Elephas maximus indicus: one gene and its partners. The protein of the gene in region 2 interacts with the protein of the main gene of each other region in a pairwise test. Links are inferred from orthologs where the notes say so. Each region holds a gene or a part of one and is shown on either strand. Other genes may lie near its edges.

Region 1 (3,750 bases), on a different chromosome or scaffold from region 2:
GAGAGACTACGTCTCACATACTTTGGACTTGTTGTCAGGAGGGACCAATCCCTGGAGGACATCACGCTTGGTAAATAGAGGGTTAGTGAAAAAGAGGAAGACCCTCAGTTAGATGGATTGACACCGTGGCTGCAACAATTGGCTCAAGCGTAACAATTATGAGGACTGGGCAGGATGGGGCAGTGTTTCCTTCTGCTGTACACAGGGTCGCTATGAATCAGAACCGACTTGACGGCACCTAACAGCAACAACAAAATCTAATTGTTTAGTCATCATGCTCATTGACCTCTCAGCAGCATTCGATGCTACTCCTTTTGGAAACTCTTCCCCCTTGACTTCTGTGGCCCCAGGCCAGCCTGTTCTCCTTCTACCTCCCTGACTGCTCTTTCTCAGACTCTTTGTGGGCTTGTTTCACCATGGACTATATTTTATACGCATAGGTTTCTGGTGAGGAATGAATTGGGGATGTTGAGTGCCTAGAACAGTGCCTGGGACATGACAAGTACTCAATAAATGTAGGAAATAAGAATAATTATAATGACTATTTTGTGTATTTTCTATCTGCATAGGGTGATATGGGAAACCCTGGTGGCATAGTGGTTAAGAGCTACGGCTGCTAACCAAAAGATCAGCAGTTCAAATCTACCAGGCACTCCTTGGAAACTGTATGGGGTGGTTCTGCTCTGTCCTATAGGATCACTATGAGTCTGAACCAACTCGACGGCAGTGAGTATGGTATGGGTATGATAGGGTGATAAACAAGGACTATCATAATCTTCGCCTACATGTGATTCTAGATTCTCTCAGCCCTCTCCTCTGACAACTATACTTTGGCCATCTAGAAACTCCTCAAACTGCCAAGTTCTCCCACACTTCCATGCTGTTTCCCCTGTTGTTCTCTCTCTCTGGAAGGCCTTACCTAACTCCATTTCACCTAGCTAAATCCTCGAAGTCACCTCCTGTTGTGGATTGAATTGTGTTCCCCCCAAAAATATGTGTTGCAATTCCTAAACCTCTGTATGTATGGATGTAATTCCATTTGGGAATAGGACTTTCTTTGTTATGTTAATAAGACCGTATCAGCATAGGGTGTGTCCTAAGACAATCGCCTTTGAGATATAAAAGAGTAGATTAGGCACAGAGGAGGAAGCACAAATGGAGGGCACGTACACTCCACACGAAGCTCACCAAGGAACCAAGGAACAGAAGTTGAAAAGAGATAAGGACCGTCCCCCAGGGCCAACAGAAAGACTTCCCCCAGAGCCAGTGCCCAGAATTTGGACATCTAGCCTCCTACACTATGAGAAAATAAGTTTATGTTCATTAAGCCACCCATTTGTGGTATTGTTGCCTGATTAGGGTCTGTGCCCTGGAGGAGTAGAGCCAATGAAATGTACTCTAAGTCAGAAAGAGTGAGAAACTTTATTTAGGAGGTGGCCACCAACAGGAATCTGACAGTAATGCAAGCTGTCTCTATGGAGACCCAAAGGGCAATTTTACATCAGAGCTTACACATGATTTTTACTAGGGTTAGAAATACCTTTGTAGCCTGCAGATGGCGTGGCAGGAGGAGTTATTCATTACAAGATAATGACAAGAGATTCTTTTTCAAACTAAAGAGATACATGCTGGGCATCTCCTTATCAGGCTAAAGATATACATGTCAGACATCTGGGCTCTGATTTCCCTGTGGGGGGTTGTAAGTCACAGGTGGTTGGACAGAACAAAACAAAGTTATTAGCATCAGATCAAAATAAATAACAAAGTTATTTGCATCAGATTGAAACAAAGTCATTAACAGAGGTACGTGGAAAGGAGAAGGCAAGCAGAGGAAGGAGAAAACCTTACAGGTTCATCAGGGCGTTAGTTATGTGAAGCTCTCAGTTTCCCGTTTTGAAACAGAGAAAACATGCTGGGGAGTATTAGGGTCACAGTATTTACGTCATAGCAGCACTAAGAAACTAAGTCACCTCTCTAGGAAGCTTCTCCTGACACCCCTGGTCTGCTTATGCTGAGTTAATGCCTCTCCTGTCCCACTAGGAGCACCTTGTTTCCCATTCCTAGGTCTAGCACCTAGCACAGGGTAGGTGTTTGGTAACTGTTTGCTAAGCGGATGGTAGCTCCTGGGTTCAGTATGTTGGAAAATATTCATCTCTAAGTTTTTCTGAAGTTATAACTAAATTATCTTTGACAAAAATATGAAATATAACATGAAGTATATGGCTATAAGGTCACTATGAGTTGATATTGACTCAATGGCAATGGGTTTATATATTAATTTAGACATAACCCAAAAAACAAAAACCAAACTCATTGCTGTCAAGTTGATTTTGACTCATAGTGACCCTGTAGGACAGAGTAGGACTGCCCCATAGGATTTCCAAGAAGCGGCTGGTGGATTTGAACTGCTGACCTTTTGGTCAGCAGCCAGAGCTCTTAACCACTTCGCCACCAAGGCTCCAAATTAGACGTAAAGTACAGTGTAAAACTGCAGATGTGTATCTATGTAGATATAAAACTGTAAATCAAAGAAATGTGTCTCTCACCATCATTATACTTCAAGGCTAAGAAATTTTTTTCAGGGAACGTTATATCTAACCCTATGCTTAGAACCAATACTATCAAATCTAAAGCCGACAGTTACTTACCACTTAGCTGTTTCCCAACTGGGCAAGCCCTGTAGCCTTCAGAGGGCAGGCAGTCATTGTCACATCAGATCCCTGGCGATGTCATCTTCATGGGCTCACCCCAATACTGCTTGCGATGACCCCTCTGTTCCCTCTCAGTCCTGACTCACAAGGTGGGTAGGGCCAAGCTGGGACCCAGGGTAAGAGGCTTCAGTGAGAAGAGAGAGAACGTGAAAGGTTTGAAAGACTCTGCCATCTTCCATCTTTGACTTCACAGAAGACTAGCAGTGTGGATGAGTGGCAGGGGATTGTTACCTCACGCGCTGCTTGGGTTCATTCCAGAAGAATGCTTCTGGGAAATCAGGTTTCAGTGGGGGTTTGACAGTGGCAGATGCTTTATAAATCACCCTGCTTTTCAGAGGAAAGAAAAAAACTGGACAGGAATAGTGGGGGAGGAGCAGGGCAAGAGATAACCTCTCTGTGTACCCTCCTCCCAGTTCATCTCTCCTGAGCTTACTGAAAATGACCCTGTGCCACCAACTTAATTCAGAAAGTATTTACCAAAATTCTGTGATTAGAGTAATGAAGGTACCCTTGAAGTATCCACTTCTTTGTATTACCATAAACTAGATTTGGCAGGTTTTTTATTCTTATATAAATGGAATCACACAGGATATGTTTTTTGTCTCTGGATTTGTGTGTGTGTGTGTGTGCATTAGTATATTTATAAGATCATTCATGTCATTGCATGTAGCAGTCATTCATTTTCATTAACATTTATAATTCCACTGTATGAGATGTCACAGTTTATCCGTTCTATTGTTGGTAGACATGTTGTCAGGAGGGACCATTCTCTGGAGAAAGACATCATGCTTGATAAAGTACAGGGTCACTGGAAAAGAGGAAGACCCTCAACGAGGTGGATTAACACAGTGGTGTTACCTCATATTGCAGATTCGAGCTGCCTGACGCAAAGCCAATACTGAGACAGGAGAAGGTAAGCAGCAAGAGGGCTTTATTGGACACCAGTGTACAAGAGACAGAGGGGGTTAAATTTCTCCCAAATTCTGTCTAACCCTAAAGAGCTAGCGGGAGGGTTTTAGGGGGAAGGTCAGGGTTACCT
Region 2 (3,750 bases):
TGATTTTCCAACTGATTGGGATCAGAAAAGAAAAAAAAAAAATTGAGAGATTTGAAGGCAAAAGAAAGATGAGTGACTAGTGGCCGGTTTTGTTGTTTGTTTGTTTGTTTGTTTGTTTGTTTTTCTTTTGAGGTAGCCTGGTTTGTTATTAACATATCAAGATAATGAGAATTGCCGTAACCACATCTCCAGATTGATGATGCCCTTTCTTCCCATTGCCCATGATAAGGAAGGCCCCACCGTTCATGAAGAGTTGTTGCCTTTTTGATTTTTAATTTTAGATACTCTCTACTTGGCATTGCATACACTGTAAAGCATAAAACTTTTATGTTAACAGGATCAGCATTAAGAAAATCTATGAACTGTGCTAAGTCCCAGCTTCCTTCCATCAATTGTTTTTATTTCTATGTACTTTTGAAGGCATGCTATTTTTTTTTTTTAACTCACAGGATAGTATTATTATTATTTGTCTTCAAATGCTATGGTTTTCCCAGAGGCACGAACAGTTTCGTTAATTCTTTTATTTTCAGATAGATAGGTAAAATTAATAAATCAAGTAGCATACTTCATTTCTAAATTCAATATGATGTCTGTAATTTTTAAAACTGCACTCCTCTAGTCCTAATAGCTAAATTTCATTAACCCAGTGGTGACATCTCCCTCAGTCTCAGGGGCACGGGTCGCATCCTGGAGCCTGTCCTGCAGGAGCAACTTGATTTGGCTTTGGACACGGGAAGCCAGTTCAATATTTCTGGCTTATTTTCATTCACAAGCTGTCTCTGACTTGGGAGACCTTTTTCTTTTTTTCCATTGGGGGTGGGAACATTTCATCATTTACTGTAACTAATTCCCTAGAACGGTCCGGTCTCCTTTCCTCTAAAAATGATTGCCTTTTCCCAGTATCCTTTGCAACAGTGTAACTGCCATTTTTTCTAGAATGTTCCCTCACCCACATTGAATGTAGCTTAAAAGACTGGCAACAGATTTTTGTGACTCACGTGATTGGATTTCCTAATGGCCAGGAAGCATAGAAGCCTCACTTGCCTCACCCTAGTCCTGGCCCTGAAAGATTGATAGTTCAGATTTGGGGCTTTTTTTTTTTTTTTTTTTTTTTGGTTTTTTAAATAAAATAAAGTGCCATTTCACACATTCTATAGTTATACAGAGTAAAGTTATATGTACTCCCCAAGCAATATATGTTTCAGGCATTCTAGACTCCCAAGGGTTGAACTTCAGCTTACCAAAGGACGACCCTGAGCCTCCTGCAGGTCCTCCCAACCCTCAGTTTCCTGCCTGGCACACAGAAGCTTCCTCCTACCCCCACCTCAACATCTGGCCTTGGTCCACCTAGCATGGTCGACTGTAGCCCCTACAGCCAGTCTACCCAATCCCAACTCTGTCACCGAGTGCCAAAGGTCCCATACAGTACCGCTTTCTTGGGTCGGGGAGCATTCGTATTCCAAGCTGGTGAGACTCCAGTCGAGCCAGCAGCCTTTGACTCCAACTTCTGTCGCCGCTGGGAGCCAGCACCCAGGGACCGGAACCCACGATCCATCATTTCTAGGAAGAACAGAGGCCCCAGGAATAGCCATGGAGTTTGTACCAGGGCTTCCTAGGCAAAGGACACACCACGAAGAGAACAGGGCCCCCAAACCTCTTGAGGATCAAACTGCGCCATTCACCCCTGTCCAGCGAGTGACCCCAGCTCTCAGTTCAAAAGCTCATCAAGTATTTACTGAAGGCCCAGTACCGGAGAGAGAGCAATGACTAAGAGATAAGACCCCAGCAATCAAGGAATTGACTGTCTGTGAGTGTTTAAAGAGGAGTGGTTGTGCAAAACAGAAAATAATTAATGTAAGTTCAAAATAAAGAGATAGAGGCACCAAAAATGATGAAAATGGCAACATGATGGAAGGAAAGGACTACTTTTAGGAATCTAGGGAAAGAACATCCCAGATAGAAGAAATAGCAAGTATACAGGGATTTGGTATTGCTGTACTGCTGTGAGGGAGGCACAAGCTCAGGGTGTGATAAGGACAAGCATTAATGCAGAGTGGAGAGGCCGCTGTTGTGTGTATACACCACAGCCTGAGGCACTGAGGAGGGACCCTGGTGTCGTGTAGACCAAGGTCAGGCAAGGCACTAGAGGAGTGGGAGAGAGAACTGGTCTGTGCGGTCTTGTGACTCGAGTCTTCTGAATGTTTTGCAATCACTGCAGTGGTGGCTTGGACAAGGGAGAGACAAAGGGCACACACATGTGGCCCCCACCCTCCTCCCTCATGGGTTGCTCTGGGTTCAGTGACATAATGCGTAAGCTGCAAAATGCTCATATCATGAACCCCTGTCCCCTCAGCACATAAATATATGCACACCAAGGCACACACACATACATTCCCTCACACAAGTACAAACACATATATGCACACACATGAGTGTCCACCCAGGCACGTGTACACCTCCTCCAACACACACATGCCCAGGTGCCAACCACCTCAGGGAAGGGACGTTTTAGGGCATCCTCACCTGTCATCAGCTGCTCCTGGCTTGGCCCTTTGTCTCCAGGACACCGCTCTTCTGCCAAGGACGCTTCCATCTCTTCCTTGAGGCTAAGGGGGCCTCCTGCCATCCCAATCAGCTATGGCCAAGGACGTGCAAGGTGCAGGGCCCAGAGAGGCACTTGGAAATCCACCTCTTTGAAGGGTGGGAGCCCCAGAAAGATATACCCAGGCCTGGGGGTGGAGCCAGACTCCCTTTCTGGGCTCAGGCCTTGGGCCCAGCACCTTCTGTTCCTGCTGTATCTTCTTGGCTGTGTTCGAAGCCTTCTCCCCTGCTACTCTGTAAGCAACTCAGGAGAAGAGATAAGACTTCTCTGCCTGTGGGAACTGCTCTGACTCCTGGGTCTCCTGCCATGGCCCACTGGGGACGTGGCGGGGGGGGGGGAGTCCACCCTCCATCATGGTTAGGGAGAGGCAGGAATAGGGGCAAGGCCCCAAAGTCAGGCAGCAGCCAAAGCAGGGCTAGCTCCCAGGCCAGTGGTGGCTTCATCCAGTCTCCCACCCCCATCCAAGAAGGAACTCTCAGCAGAGCACACCCTGCCTCCGTACCCAGGGTGCCTATGCAGGGGAGGCAGCCTTTCTCTGACCTGGGTCCACCTGGGCAGGAACCATGAGAACCAAGGGAGGGAAAGGCAGGCCAGGAGGGACCTGCCTCTAGCAACACGGCTCCTGCATGCAGGAGGTTGGCCAGTGGCCATGTGTGAGTGGTGGGCTTCAGACCCAAGATCCCAATGGGAGGCCAGGAGGCCTGAAGCTCTTCCCCTCCCAGAGACCAGACAGTTGACCCTGGAGAGGAGAAGGGGGCCCAGAGCACATCTGGCTTATGTGTGTGTATATGTTTGCAGTTTTTTTCATACAAATGAGGTAATACGCTACATGGTTTTCTGGCACTTACTTTTTAAGCGAACAGAGGGCCTTGGGGATCTCCCCACGTCAGAGCAGATCAATCTCAGTTCTTTCAAGATAGCCCAGCTTCACGTCTGTGTATTGTTCATACACTTTGAGCTTTTGGATCCGGTGTCTTTTCTAAACAATGTAGCAGTGAGCACTCCTGGACAGGCCTCCTTGCACATATGTGCCAATGTGTTTGCAGGGCGGGTGCCTCGAATGGAATTAGAGTTCTAGGCTATATGTAAGGAGCCCTGGTGGTGCAATGGTTAAGTGCTCAGCTGCTAACCGAGGGGTCAGTGGTTTG
Region 3 (3,750 bases), on a different chromosome or scaffold from region 2:
AAAGACAACTAAACCAATTAAAAAACCGGCACTTCTACAAAGAAGACATTCAGGCAGCTAACAGACACATGAGGAAATGCTCACAATCATTAGCCATTAGAGAAATGCAAATCAAAACTACAATTAGTTACCATCTCACCCCAACAAGGCTAGCATTAATCCAAAAAACACAAAATAATAAATGTTGGAGAGGTTGTGGAGAGACTAGAACACTTATACACTGCTGGTGGGAATGTAAAGTGGTACAGCCACTTTGGAAATAGATTTGGCACTTCCTTAAAAAGCTAGAAATAGAAGTACCATATGACCCAGCAATCCCACTCCTTGGAATATATCCCAGAGAAATAAGAGCCATCACATGAGTAGATATATGCACACTCATGTTCATTGCTGCACTGTTCACAATAACAAAAAGATAGAAACAACCTAGGTGTCCATCAACAGACAAATAAATAAATTATGGTACATTCACAAAACAGACTACTACGCAACAATAAAGAACAATGATGAATTCACGAAACATCTCACAACACGGATGAATCTGGAAGGCCTCACGCTGAGTGAACTTAGTCGCAAAAGGACAAATATTGTATCGAGACCACTATCATAAGAACTCAAAAAAAGGTTTCAACACAGAAGAAAACATTCTTTGATGGTTACGAGGGTGGGGAGGGAAGGAGATGGGTATTCACTAACTAGATAGTAGACAAGAATGATCTCAGGTGAAGGAAAGGAAAAACACACCACACAGGGGAAGTTAGCACAACTGGACTAAGCCAAAAGCTAAGAAGTTTCCTGAATACAACCAAACACTTCGAGGGACCAAGTAGCAGGGGCTGGGGTCTGGGGACAATGGTTTCGGGGGACATCTAGGTCACTGGGCATAACAAAGTTTATTAACAAAATGTTCTGCATCCCACTGCAGAGGGTGGCTTCTGGGGTCAAGTTACTTACCCTCTCTGAGCCAAAGTTTGCTCATCTGTCAAAAGTTTGCTCGGGAGGTTGTTGTGATTAAATAATTAATCCCGGCACACCACAGATACTCCATAAATGAGAGCTCTCTTCTTTCTTTTCAGTTCCTGCAGCACTGTCCCTCACCCGATTCTCCCATTTTTAGCAATTAGTTTGTGCAAATCTCTAATCAGAGGAAAGGCAGTCAGCAGGTGTATACCTTCTACATTAAACCCAACCCACCTGGAATAGCATAGGTGCTCAAAAGACTTGGGTACTGATACCAACAAACCTCAGATGGCCTCATGTGAATTTCTTCCCAGCTAAACTTTAAACCCAAGTCCGACCCCTTGTTCCAGGGATCTCTCCTCCCATCTGCTGATTGAAAAGAAAATCTGCACCCAGGTGAAATCACAGCACAGGCATGTCTAATCGAAACATAGATTATGAGTCGTTTTGGAATCAGCCACCCCTGGGTTCTTCTTGCACCAGGCACCACACCACGGGGTGCTAAATGGTTTGTCACTCCTGAGTAAAAGGGCATTCCTGGATATGGTCCCAAAGGAGGCTGCACCAAGACCTTAAATGGGCGGGTTTGGTCCAAGGTTCAGCCTTCCAGACCAAAGCTAAGGGCCCAGCCCCTCTGTCTGCAGGCAGAACCTAGACGAAGGCTGGAGGTGGGCGGGGAGAAAAAGAAGAACAGCCGCTGGCATCGTGACAACGCCGAAGACACAGGACAGGAAATGAAGACATCCCAGGAAGCCCCACAGTGTCTTCCAAAGTGCACAATGTGGGGTTTTTCTGCTCGCTTGAAATAAGAAAGCTAGACTTAATAATTCTGAAAACCACTTTCTGGCAACATCTGATTTTCTTAAATCTCCAAAACGAAAACCAAACCTGTTGCCTTCCAGTTGATTCTGACTCATGGCGGGCGACCCCATGTGTTACAGAGTAGAACTGCTCCATAAGGTTTTCTTGGCTGCAATCTTTACAGAAGTAGATCGCCAGGCCCTTCTTTTGCGGTGCTGCTGGTAATCCAGTTTAAGCCGCCCACCTTTAGGTTCACAGTCAGGGCAAACCATTTGCTCCACCCAGGGGCCTTTTCTTAACCTCACTGAGTGAATAAAGGAGGCTAGCAGGACCCAACTGGGGGCCCAAGTGAAAAGTGTGGTCTCAGCGTCTCCTTGGGGGAGATGTGGCCCAACCTCAAGCCCCTGCCGCAGGCGCTCAGTGGGCCCCTCCCCCCGCGCCTGCCTCCCTCCCCACAGGAATTCTGAGCGTGTAGGCCCTGCAATCCTCCGGGGCGGAGCTCCCAGCTGGAGGAGGCCGGCTCCGGGACCAGGCGGCCCTTCCGACCCTGGTCAGCCTCCAGTCCCCCCTCTGGATCCTCCCTGCTCGCTTTTTTCTGGATCCCTCCTCCCCGCTGAGGCCTACCTTCCCCACCTCCTTCTCACCTGGGGTGGTGTCCGTTCCCTCCTCCCCTTTCTCCCTGCCAAACTCTCCGTCCTCCCGCCTTTAAAATCCTTTATAGAAAGCAAACACCCAACACACTCCCAGATACCCGCCGCCCCGCCTGCCCGCGGCGTGGCCACCTCCGCCCCGTCCCGCCCGTCGTACCTTCAGGTTCACGGCGGGCAGCTCCATCCTGACCCAGGCCCAGTGCACCTGCGTTGCAGCGGTAGGAGCTCTTCGGCTCCGAAGTCTGGAAACAAACTTGCCCGGCCCCGCCCCGCCCGTTGTAGCAACTCCAACCCTATCCGCGCTCCCGGACCACGTGAGCGCGGCCCGGTTGCTAGGAGACGGCGTCGGTCTGTTCCGGTTGTCTTGTAGCCTCCTGGCTCCTGGACTGCCCAGGCAGTTCCTGGGGGCCCGCAGGCAGAATATCGGGGTTTCTTGAGCAAAGGGAGCGATGTCCTGCCTGGCTAATATGCCAGCAGGTGGTGACACCTGGGCTGATGAGACCACCTGCAGTCACGAGAACCTGGGGGGACTTCCAAGTGCAAACTGTGGATGTAGCGACAGCTGGTGTCTCAGTCCCTGGGGCACCCTCTCAACTTCCTCTTTCCCGGTGTTAAAATGGAGACATTTACAATACCTGCTAGCTTTGAGGAGCCCTGGTGGTGCGGTGGTTAAGAGCTCGGTTGCCAACCAAAAGGCCTCAGTTCAAATCCACCAACAGCTCCTTGGAAACCTTATGGGGCAGTTCTACTCTGTCCTGTAGGGTCGCTATGAGTCGGAATCGACCCAAAGGCAGTGGGTTTGGTTTTTGGTGTGAGTGCCAATGTAAAGTGCCCAGAAGAGTGCCTGGCACTTAGTAAATGGGCAGTACACACAGCTCCCTGGGTGGTGCAAATAGTTAAGCACCGAGCTACTAACCGAAAGGTCAGCTGTTCAAATCCACCCAGAGGCACCTCGGACGACAGGCCTGGTGATCTACTTTTAAAAACTCTATGCGATACAGTTCTAATGACACACATGTTTAATCTGAGCCTGTTAGTGTGTAATAAGACCGTGAGCAATGATCATCTCATAAGGAGAGAATGCAAAACAAACAATTTATGTGATTAGAGCTGACATTTATTAAGTACTTATTTTGTTGTAAAAAAAAAAAAACCTTCTGACTCATAGAGACCCTACAGGACAGGGTAGAACTGCCCCAGAGGGTTTCCAAGGAGCAGCTGGTGGATTCAAGCTGCTGACCTTCTGGTTAGCAGCCAAGCTCTTAACCAGGGCTGTGAAAAGCACTTCATAGTAAATGCTTGCAACAACCTCATGGTGTAGGTACTATTCTTATTTACA

Evidence for each region.
Region 1: the proteins of FATE1 (region 2) and CCDC70 interact in binary tests that used the Homo sapiens proteins (3 or more experiments, as listed by UniProt). The two-hybrid records come from large-scale screens. The link is inferred for Elephas maximus indicus from reciprocal best matches to the Homo sapiens genes FATE1 and CCDC70.
Region 3: the proteins of FATE1 (region 2) and AGTRAP interact in binary tests that used the Homo sapiens proteins (3 or more experiments, as listed by UniProt). The two-hybrid records come from large-scale screens. The link is inferred for Elephas maximus indicus from reciprocal best matches to the Homo sapiens genes FATE1 and AGTRAP.

The regions. Positions count from the first base shown.
Region 1 is NC_064832.1:25,625,975-25,629,724, forward strand, and holds the start of CCDC70 (coiled-coil domain-containing protein 70), read right to left. Parts: upstream 2,895-3,750; 5' UTR 2,649-2,894; intron 1-2,648.
Region 2 is NC_064846.1:4,708,271-4,712,020, forward strand, and holds the start of FATE1 (fetal and adult testis-expressed transcript protein), read right to left. Parts: upstream 2,627-3,750; coding exon 2,524-2,626; intron 1,561-2,523; coding exon 1,404-1,560; intron 1-1,403. UniProt on the Homo sapiens protein: Involved in the regulation of endoplasmic reticulum (ER)-mitochondria coupling. Negatively regulates the ER-mitochondria distance and Ca(2+) transfer from ER to mitochondria possibly implicating it in the regulation of apoptosis.
Region 3 is NC_064821.1:51,597,957-51,601,706, reverse strand, and holds the start of AGTRAP (type-1 angiotensin II receptor-associated protein), read right to left. Parts: upstream 2,671-3,750; 5' UTR 2,596-2,670; coding exon 2,569-2,595; intron 1-2,568. UniProt on the Homo sapiens protein: Appears to be a negative regulator of type-1 angiotensin II receptor-mediated signaling by regulating receptor internalization as well as mechanism of receptor desensitization such as phosphorylation.